2 linked regions of the Coturnix japonica genome follow. The protein of the gene in region 1 interacts with the protein of each later gene in a pairwise test. Links are inferred from orthologs where the notes say so. Each region holds a gene or a part of one and is shown on either strand. Other genes may lie near its edges.

Region 1 (4,473 bases):
ACACTTTGTCAGACCACTTACCTGCAACACTGGTAATGGTAACTGGAACTCCTTGTACTTGAACACCTGCAGCACCCAGGTTGGCAACACTTACTGTTTGAAGATTAGGTACTGAAGCAAGCTGGGCAGCATTTAGAGTGATTGGGGTACCAGCAACAGCCACTGGAGCAATTTGGGCAATGGTTGTACCACCACTTGAAGACACAGGGGTAATGGTGAGTTGCTGGGGTAACCCAGCGTTCTGAACTTGAAGGTTTGAAAGGCTCTGCAGATTCTGAACCTGTACAGTCTGCCAACTGATCTGCCCTGATGGTGTTAAAGTTGGAGCCCGGATGAGCACCTGAGTTGGACTTACTGCCTGCAGCTGAACATTCTGCAAAGACTGCTGCTGAATGGTCTGTATAGTTTGCCCTGACTGGAGCTGAAATGACTGCGGAGGAATGGCCTGTATAATTTGCTGCTGTGGCTGCTGAATCTGTATCTGCTGTAGAATAGGCTGACCTACAATCTGTACCTGCTGAAGGGAACCTGACTGATCCTGAACATTCTGTAATCCATTTGACTGAAGCTGACTGGAGCTTTGGGCTTCAGAGTCTGTCGCAGTTGTTTGAGATTCTTCCGTTGGCTGCTCTGAACTGCCGCCTGCTGTGCTTGTGTACTGGCCCGTTTCTGCAGAGCTTACTAAAGTGTCACTGCTAGTCAGAGATGTTGAAGCAGTAGTTGTAGAAGTGGATGATGAAGAAGGAGAGTCTGGCATTGAGCTAACAGAGGCAGAAGTAACCGGTGTAGATGCGAGCTGACTTCCATTGGAAACTCCACCCTCTGTAGACTGGCCAACTTGACCTGACCCTCCTCCAGCTGCCATGTTGTTTATCACAGGCAACGCCAGGGTTACTCCACCAATGTTTATAGGTAAAGTTGTCACAACCTGCGCCTGAGCACCAGGAATGGTTTGCAATTGCAGTGGTATGGAGACACCAGGCCTGATTTGGACTGGGACTGTCTGATTTGCTAGGTTTTGAGCAATAATATTCCCCGAAGCTGTCCTATTTGAAGCCGTGAGGATAGCTTGATTATTTCCCGCAGGAATAAGCTGAATTTGACCCTGTATATCTTGTAGACCAGTAGCATTTGCAGGATTAATTTGAATTTGTTGACCTTCTGTTGTCTGAATCTGTGGTATCACTTGATATTGGACACTACCACTTGGATTTTGTACTTGAATGACCTGAAATTGTCCAGGGGTTGTTGCAGAAGAATTGCCCGATTTGGTTTTTGTAGGAGATGAGCTTCCATTGTTACTGCTGGAGGGACTTGGTGCGCTCGAGGCAGTGGAAGATCCCTGTTGAGCAACATTATTGTCCTTTGAAGCAGAAGGAGATGCAGCAACAAGCTGCCAAGAGTTTCCAGCAAGCTGAGTTGTTACTAATTCTAACTGTTGTGGCTGATTTTGAAGCTGCACCAAACCTTGATTTGGATCTATAATAATCTGCTGCTGTCCAGTTGCTTGATTCTCACCAGGAGTTCCTATTTTGCTGCAAGTGGCTGCTAGCAAAGCGAGAGGTGAAGGCTGAGAATCCTATCCAGAGAGAGAAAAAACAGAATGGATTCAGGAGAAGAGCATGAGCGTTAACCATCAGAAGTAAGCATCAAGATTTACACAGGAAGCAGACAAAAACATGCTTCTGCATAGAGACCAACGATACAGCTCTGAATAGGGAAGTATATGTTTCTATAGATAATCGTACAAGCCAGTGGTGATCAATGAGTATGTGACAACCAGGACCTCAACCACTTGCTCAATCCAGACTTTTTTCCTAAAATAAAGGCAAATTTTGCAAGGACCTCTATTACATGGAAAGCAGCCGATCACCATATAACACAGTCAAAAAGCACGTCCCGACAGTAAAAATACTGCACTCCAACGACTAGGTTTCACCCAATCCAAAGAAAGATGCCCTCAGCAGGGAATGCTGTTAGCTGAACACTTCATTTTTAATGCTAATAGTTTGCGCACTTCCCAATTTGGGAGTGCGTGCTTTACCTGTGAGCCTCCAGTTTTCCCTTTTTTATTATTATTGTTGTTATTCTCTGCCTCGGGAGATTTCTCTCCCTCTGTGGGCATAGTTTCCTCCTTCTTTTGATCTGCAAAAATATCAAGTGTAACAGGTTAATTATTCACCTTCATTTATACAATAACAAAACCTACAAGCGTATCCTTTTTGGTTCCCAGCTTCTCGCCCGTATCTCTCTGTAAAAACAACGGCGCAAACCATTATTACAAAAGAACCGGAGTCCTAAGAAACGTGGTTTGAAACCCAACCCATGGGGGCTGGAGAGTTAACACCCAGAAAGGGGAGGTTTGGTTTCCTCTCCCGGAGACAGCAGGAGAAAACCACCCACAACCCTCCTCCTCCTCCTGCCCCCTGAAGCATCGGCCACTGAGTGGCCGTCGATGCTTCAGGGGGCAGGAGGAGGGTTGTGCATGGGAAGGAAGGAGGGAGGCAAAGAGAAATGAAGGAGGGAGGGATGCGCACGGGAGGGAGGGCTGCGAAGAAAGGGGGGAACGGAGGAGGGCGGCACGGCGGGAGGAGGAGAAGAAAGGGGGCGCGGGAGGAAGGGCGGGGGGAGAGGGGGGGGGACCCGGGGAAGAAACGGGGGGACGCGGGAGGGCGGGATGGAGGGGACGGAGGGTGGAGGGAGGAGCGGAGGGAGGGCGGGAGGGGTGTGCTCGGGAGGGAGGAGGGAGGGGGTTACATACCGCTCATCCCGCATTAATGCCCCGCTGAGGCGCCGCTCTAGGGGGGAGGAGAAGGAGGAGGAGGAGGCGGAGGGTGGGGTGGGGGTAGCGGGGAGAAGGCCGGTCGCAGCCGGAGCGGGGAGGAGCGGGACGGCCTATTTTTCCACGAATGGCCGCCGCTGGGCTGTGGCGTAGCTCCTCTCTCTCCGCCCGCCGCCGCCGCCGGCCTCAGCCCCGCCGCTTTGAGTGACAGCCGCGGGCCGGCGGCCGCCGCCGGGGGGAGGGAGCGCGGCGGCGGGGCGGGGCCCACTGAGGAGGAAACCGAGCCCCGCCGCCAGCCCACGGCCGCCCCTCGCGCTCTCTCTCTCCGCCTCAGCGCGGCTCCCCACGCCGGAGGCTGAGGAGGCGGGGCGGGGGCGGGACGCGAGCCGGGCCCGGCGGGCGGCAGGACGGCACAAGGGCGGCCTCGGCCTCGGCCTCCTCCTCCTCCCGCTCGTCCCCGAGCCGCGCGTTGTGGGGCGGGGCTGCGCGGTGCAGCGCTTGACAGCGAGAATGGAGGGGGGGTAGGGGGTAGGGAGGCGGGAGGGAGGCGGGGCTGCGGCACCGGGGGGCGGGGCCACACACAGAGCTCGCTGCCGGGCCGCTCCAGCCATCAAGGAAGGGGGAGCCGGGGATATTGCCCGCAGCCGGTGCGAGGGGGCGGGAACGAGCCGCCTCCACGTTGGTTCGGCTGCGGCGGGGGGCGCAGGGATATGTAGTCCTGGGCGAGGGGCTGAGGGGCCGCAGGGTGGTGGGGGCGCATGCGCAGAGCGGCAGGTGTTCCTGGGCTGATGGCTGCGATGGGGGACTAGGCCGGGCGGTGGGTTGGGCTGATCGGAGTCACAATAAAAAGCTTAATGATGGTTGTGTTTTTGTTTTCCTCGGTAGGGTTATCCCCAGTTCACCATGGCATTCCCCGCTTTCCCATGGTTGGGAAACAACGGGCTGTTTTGTGATGTGGTGGAAGAAATGATGGGTGCCCAGGAATTGATGGCCCCACTTCAGTCTGTGAGCCGAGCTGATAACTGATGGCCCCACTAAAGTCTGTGAGCCGAGCTGATAACTGGGTGCAGTAACATCACACACTGATGCATCAGGAAATGACCTTACCAACACTGAATGATTTGCACCCAGATGAGCTAATAGCAATACTTCACAGTGTGCCACTGTGCCTCCTGAAATGGAGGCTGAGTGAGGAATGGGCAGAGAATTTAACTCGTCTTTGTTTCAGTGAGAGATGGGTTTCTCTGAATCTGGTGGCCTTAGGGTGTAAAAGCGCTGTTTCAGCTCAGTATGAGGTTGAAGAGAAGGATAAAAGAGTTTAGTCCCTGGAACAGGCTGTCCAGGGAGGTTGTGGATGCCCCGTCCTTGCAGGTGTTCAAGACCAGGCTGGACAGGGCCCTGGGCAACCTGATCTAGTAAAGGTGTATGTTTGGTGGCCCTGCTAGGCAGGGGGGTTGGAACTACATGATCCTTGAGGTCCCTTCCAACCAATCATTCTGTGATTCTGTGATAAAAGATGGTGCTGATGGTGTAGGTGGTTTCAGTTGGGGCATCGTGATTTTTATGTCTTTATCATCCACAGTTACACTCCTTTACCACCTACTCTTCCCCAAAATTCAAATGTCACACTTGTTCAAATTCCTCCTTCCAAACCTAAGCCTCCTGAGGATGCCTCTATTGGCATTAATCCC
Region 2 (4,539 bases), on another chromosome or scaffold:
TAGTCCTAACACCTTTCAAAAAGCAAAGATGAGGCCAGGGTATCAGAAAGGGGACTTTCCACTCACACACCACACTGCTGCAGGCTTCATTGCCAAAGACGTTTCTATCTGCATCGAGCTGGATATTCCAGCACAATTCTGAGCTACAACACAGGCTCAGAAAATGTTTGAGAGAAACGCGTTTGTATTTTGTCATGTAAATAACTGCACACGGAGCCACAAACCCCAGCTGAGCCGTAAGGCTGCACAAGGCCACTGTCCGGCGTTCCGTCCTATAAAAATTACTAAAACGTCAGGGACAAAGAAATTTTGTTTGCAAGACGCAATGTACATTTTTATCATCCCGGATAAAATATCTACAGTCTCAGCAGTGGTTAAATTGCTGCTATAAAGGAAATTGTCCTCAGATAAATGGTTTCCCTATGAGAAGGTTTCAGTGCTACACCTCACCCCAGGTCAATAAATCAAATTAACTGCACCTTGTCCTCTGGCCAATGACATCATCGGCTTGACCACATCTCGCGAAGCGAGTGCAAAAACATATGCTATTTAAGGCATGAAATCATATTACGGCTTTTTGTCCAGCCAGCCCTGGTGCTGTTGGGCTGTGAAACAGTCAGTCACCTCAACAGTCTCATTACAGCTTCCACTGATTCTCTTTTTTTTTTTCCTCTAGTATTCAAGGCCTGCCTTCGCCAAGGGTGAAGCAAAAAGGATAAATAACCGGAGCCGTTCTTTCTGAAACCCAAAGGCTTTTCATGAGGCTGCAGCGTGGTGTTTGGAGAGAAATTCAACGTAGAAGCCAAGTGCAAAACAGACTGACCAGTGCTCACATAGGAACTCTCTTCTCACTGCGTTTCAGAGATGTTTACATGCTAATGGGTGCAGTTACTGGGAAGAGCCCTGCTGCTGGCTCCTTTTCTCCACGGGCTGAAAACAATGGTCACTAATGAAAACCTAGACAGCTTTATCGAGACCCGTGCCCGCATACATGAATATATATATATATATATATATTTAAAGTTGCCGCCTCTTTGTAATAAAGCAGTCCATTTGTTTGCTTTCTAAGTAGCCCCATATCTGGTGTAACGCTGAATTACTGCAGACCATTTAAGAGGATTAATTTCAATTTCCACTTGGTGGTCTTACAGCACAATCCCTGCAAACTTATCTTCTTTCCTAGGCCCTGCGCTGCCTAGTGGCATCTTTTGCTTTTCTTGAAAGCCAAATCTAAATGGGAAAAGAAAAAAAGAAAAAAAACCCACAGCCAACCAGAATAGTCAGATACAAGCAGCGACAAAAGCATCTGACACGCAGCACTGCTAAAGTGCATCCACACCAAGCAAAAAGAAAGAGAATAAGATTATCCTCAATGTATTCAATGCTGTTTGTGCTCAGAGGGAAGAGGAGGGCTGTTTGGATTTTGAGTGTGTCTTCTGCAGCTCTCTCAGTGCCAGGAAACGTAAATTAGGTGCAACTCTCCTTTAAGGAATAGAAGCAAGGACAAAGGGACCAAAAATGCCCAAGCCTCAGCAAAGCAAATATGAAAGGCGCAGCTTTACAGTCCTGAGTTGCTATAAATTAAAAATAAGCTCCTTATTTAAAAGACATGAGTGTTTGAGAATCTACGAGCAGATCTGATGCTGCTCAGGCCCCAGGAGGGTTTTGTTTTTGCTGGCAGGGGTGGAGTGGAGATGGGGGGGTGGGAGGGGGGGGGAGGGGGTCATTTTGGTTATTAGTAAATAAATCAAGCAGCAGAGTGAGGCCTAGGCGCTGCCAGAGCAGGCAGGGCCCAGCTCCCCCTCCTCTCCTCACACCGCCTGGGTTTGATCTCGGGGCCCTGTGGGTTGCCAAGAAATTTTTTAAAAAGCGAGAGAGAGCGAGAAAGAAGAATCACATTGAACCACAAAAGCACATGGGGCGAATGTAAAATATAAACACGGCGTTGGGCTCTGAGTGGCTGTTATTAAAGGTCTGAATTACTAAACATGAGAGGCGGGGAAAGCCGGGCGGCCATTTCAATAATATAAACCTCCCCGAATTAGACATTATTCAAATGAGAAGGAGAAGGGAGAGGAGGGGGAGAGGGAGCCGGGCCCGCACCCCGCGCTGCCGGCACCGCGCTGCGCCCCCCGCACGGGGCCAGGGGAAGGGGGCGGCGGGGCCGCACCCGGGGGGCTGCCCTGCTATGGGGTGAGGGGGGTAAGCGAGAAAGGGGGGGGAGGGAAGGAGAAACCCCCCGGCCCAGAAGAGCGCTGACCCCCACACCTCGCGGGAGGGGGGGGGCTTTATAGATAAAGCCACGCCGCGCTCCCGCCCTCCCCCCTCTCTTCCCCCTCCCTCCCGGAGGCCATCCGCACCCATCCACCCCGTGCCCGCGGGCTCCGGGGGAAATAACCCCGGCTGGGAGCGGGAGGGGAAGGGGGGGGAAGGAGGAGGGTGGGCGGCAAACGCCGGCCCCTCTCCCACCCCCAGCCCCACCGAGCGGCTCCTGCCCCGGCCCCCCCGCCCCGCTCGACCGCCTCCCCCCGACCCCGCAGCCCCCCCCTGCCGCCGACACGCCGAGCCCCCCCTTCTCCCGGCCGTTCTTCCCCCCCGGACCCCGCCGCCCCCCGGCGCTGCCCCGGCTGCGGGCGGCCCCGAGTGCGGCCCCGCGCGAAGGAGCGGGCGGGCGGCTGAGGAACGGAGCGCGCGTGTGTGTGTCCCCGCACGGGGAGGCTGCCTGCCTGCTTCCCCCCCCCGCTCCCTCCTGCGCCGTTAATTATAATAATCCTGAGTACTAATAAATTATGCTAAGCGGGGCGGGCGGGCGGCGGGGGGGCCGAGTGTGCGAGTATGAATATGAATATGTAAAATGCAGTAATGATTACCTGCCGCTGCCGCCACCGCCGCCGCCGAACTCTCATCTTGACTCGCTGCTCCTCCGTCCGCCATTTTGAATATTTTAACCAAAATCGGCCGCCCGATAAACCCTCCCCCGCTCCCGGCCCCCCCCCCCGCCCCCCCCGCCGGGCGACCCCTCCCCCCGCGTCCACACTGCGCATGCGCCAACGAACCGCGCCGCGGCCCCGCTCTGCGCATGCGCGGGTCCCTCACACACAGCGAGGCGGGCTGCAGCGCGCAGGCGCCGGGCTGCGATCTCTTCACCTCTGGCCGAGGCCTCGTTAACGTGAGCGCGGACGGGCGATGGCGTTAGTTGCCCCCCCCCCCCCGGCTCACACACACACACGCACACACATGTAGACGCTCTCCGGTCCGTTGTGCTGGGAGCGAAGGGGCGCTTGCGCAGTGAGGAAGGCGGGGGGAGGGTGTAAATGGCGTAGGGTGGGGAATGGGGAGCCCAGGTGTCGGTTAGCCGTGCTGTGAGGGAGTGGGGGTAACGGTCAGTCGTGGTGGAGACCGATAGTGCCGGGTTCCTCCTGTGGGGAGGAAGGAGTTGTGTTTTTGTGAGCGGCTGTGTGAAAACACCCGTGGCCAAGGCTGCCTGGGAGACAGGTGCTGCCCGAGCTCACCGCAATATTAATCCCCTACGAATAAAAAAGGAATTGAATACAAAGGGAAGGAAATAACAGATCAGGCTGCTTTGTGCAGAGGAGGTCTGTGCCTCCTTCAGAAAAGAGCAATTCTGAGGAAACCTTTCCCCTCGTCACACACCCTGGGTACCACAGTGCTGCTGAGGTGTCTCACAAATCTACCTCTGCCTTCTGCATCCAGTGCACACACTGCATACACCCTGGGTACCACAGTGCTCCTGAGGTGTCACAAATCCACCTCTGCGTTCTGCATCCACTGCCACCAAACTGAAGGGAGAAGAAAGTCAGACCTCGTGGCCCCCTCAATGAAGGGTTTAGAGTACATAACGTGAGCCTAGAGAAACACACAGATCAAACCAGCCTTTGATTCGGAACTTCCAAATCACTGCGAGCGATTTGCGGGCTGAGTGATTGAACTTTGCCTCCTCCTTCACAAATTTGGCAGAGCGAAGGCAGCATTTGCTAAAATTCTTCACTTTAATGCTGCATAAATAGGTGTTATTGCTAAGCTCTGCAACGCGCGCTCATAAAAAGAGGAACCAGAAGGTGCTATGGTGTTTGTTAAGGACTTGCCCTTAACGTTTTCCGAGGGTCATTAACTTCGATGGGTCAGAGTCCAAACTGAATTTTCTTCTGGGGCTCAAAACCTGGTGGAATAAAAGAGACTGGCGAGAATCCATTCTCGCAGGCTGTTGCTGGAGGAATTACGAGTTGTAGCAGAGGCAGTCGCTAGGTTTTTTCACTGGTAGGGAAGAGCCAGAAAGGACAGGCTGTCAGAAGGAGGCAGCGGGGTTTCTCTGCGAGGGCTCAATCAGTGAGGTAATCTTGGCATTTTTATTTAAAAATAAATTCATCTGGCAATGTTTTCGTGGGATTTGTTTGATTCATTTTTTTTCCTATCATAGCAGAACATCTCAGATGTTGCTGAAAGCAGGAGTTGAAATGGACCGTGCTGTGAAACAGCAAAAGCCTTCCCGCAATGCTGTCATTCTGCCCTTGCACGTTC

What was found. The genes of interacting proteins can lie anywhere in the genome.
Region 2: the proteins of SP4 (region 1) and POU2F1 interact in binary tests that used the Homo sapiens proteins (3 or more experiments, as listed by UniProt). The two-hybrid records come from large-scale screens. The link is inferred for Coturnix japonica from reciprocal best matches to the Homo sapiens genes SP4 and POU2F1.

What each region holds. Positions count from the first base shown.
Region 1 is NC_029517.1:27,985,906-27,990,378, reverse strand, and holds the start of SP4 (transcription factor Sp4), read right to left. Parts: upstream 3,023-4,473; 5' UTR 2,769-3,022; coding exon 2,762-2,768; intron 2,146-2,761; coding exon 2,045-2,145; intron 1,580-2,044; coding exon 22-1,579; intron 1-21. UniProt on the Homo sapiens protein: Binds to GT and GC boxes promoters elements. Probable transcriptional activator.
Region 2 is NC_029516.1:82,316,814-82,321,352, forward strand, and holds the start of POU2F1 (POU domain, class 2, transcription factor 1), read right to left. Parts: upstream 2,970-4,539; 5' UTR 2,935-2,969; coding exon 2,871-2,934; intron 1-2,870. UniProt on the Homo sapiens protein: Transcription factor that binds to the octamer motif (5'-ATTTGCAT-3') and activates the promoters of the genes for some small nuclear RNAs (snRNA) and of genes such as those for histone H2B and immunoglobulins.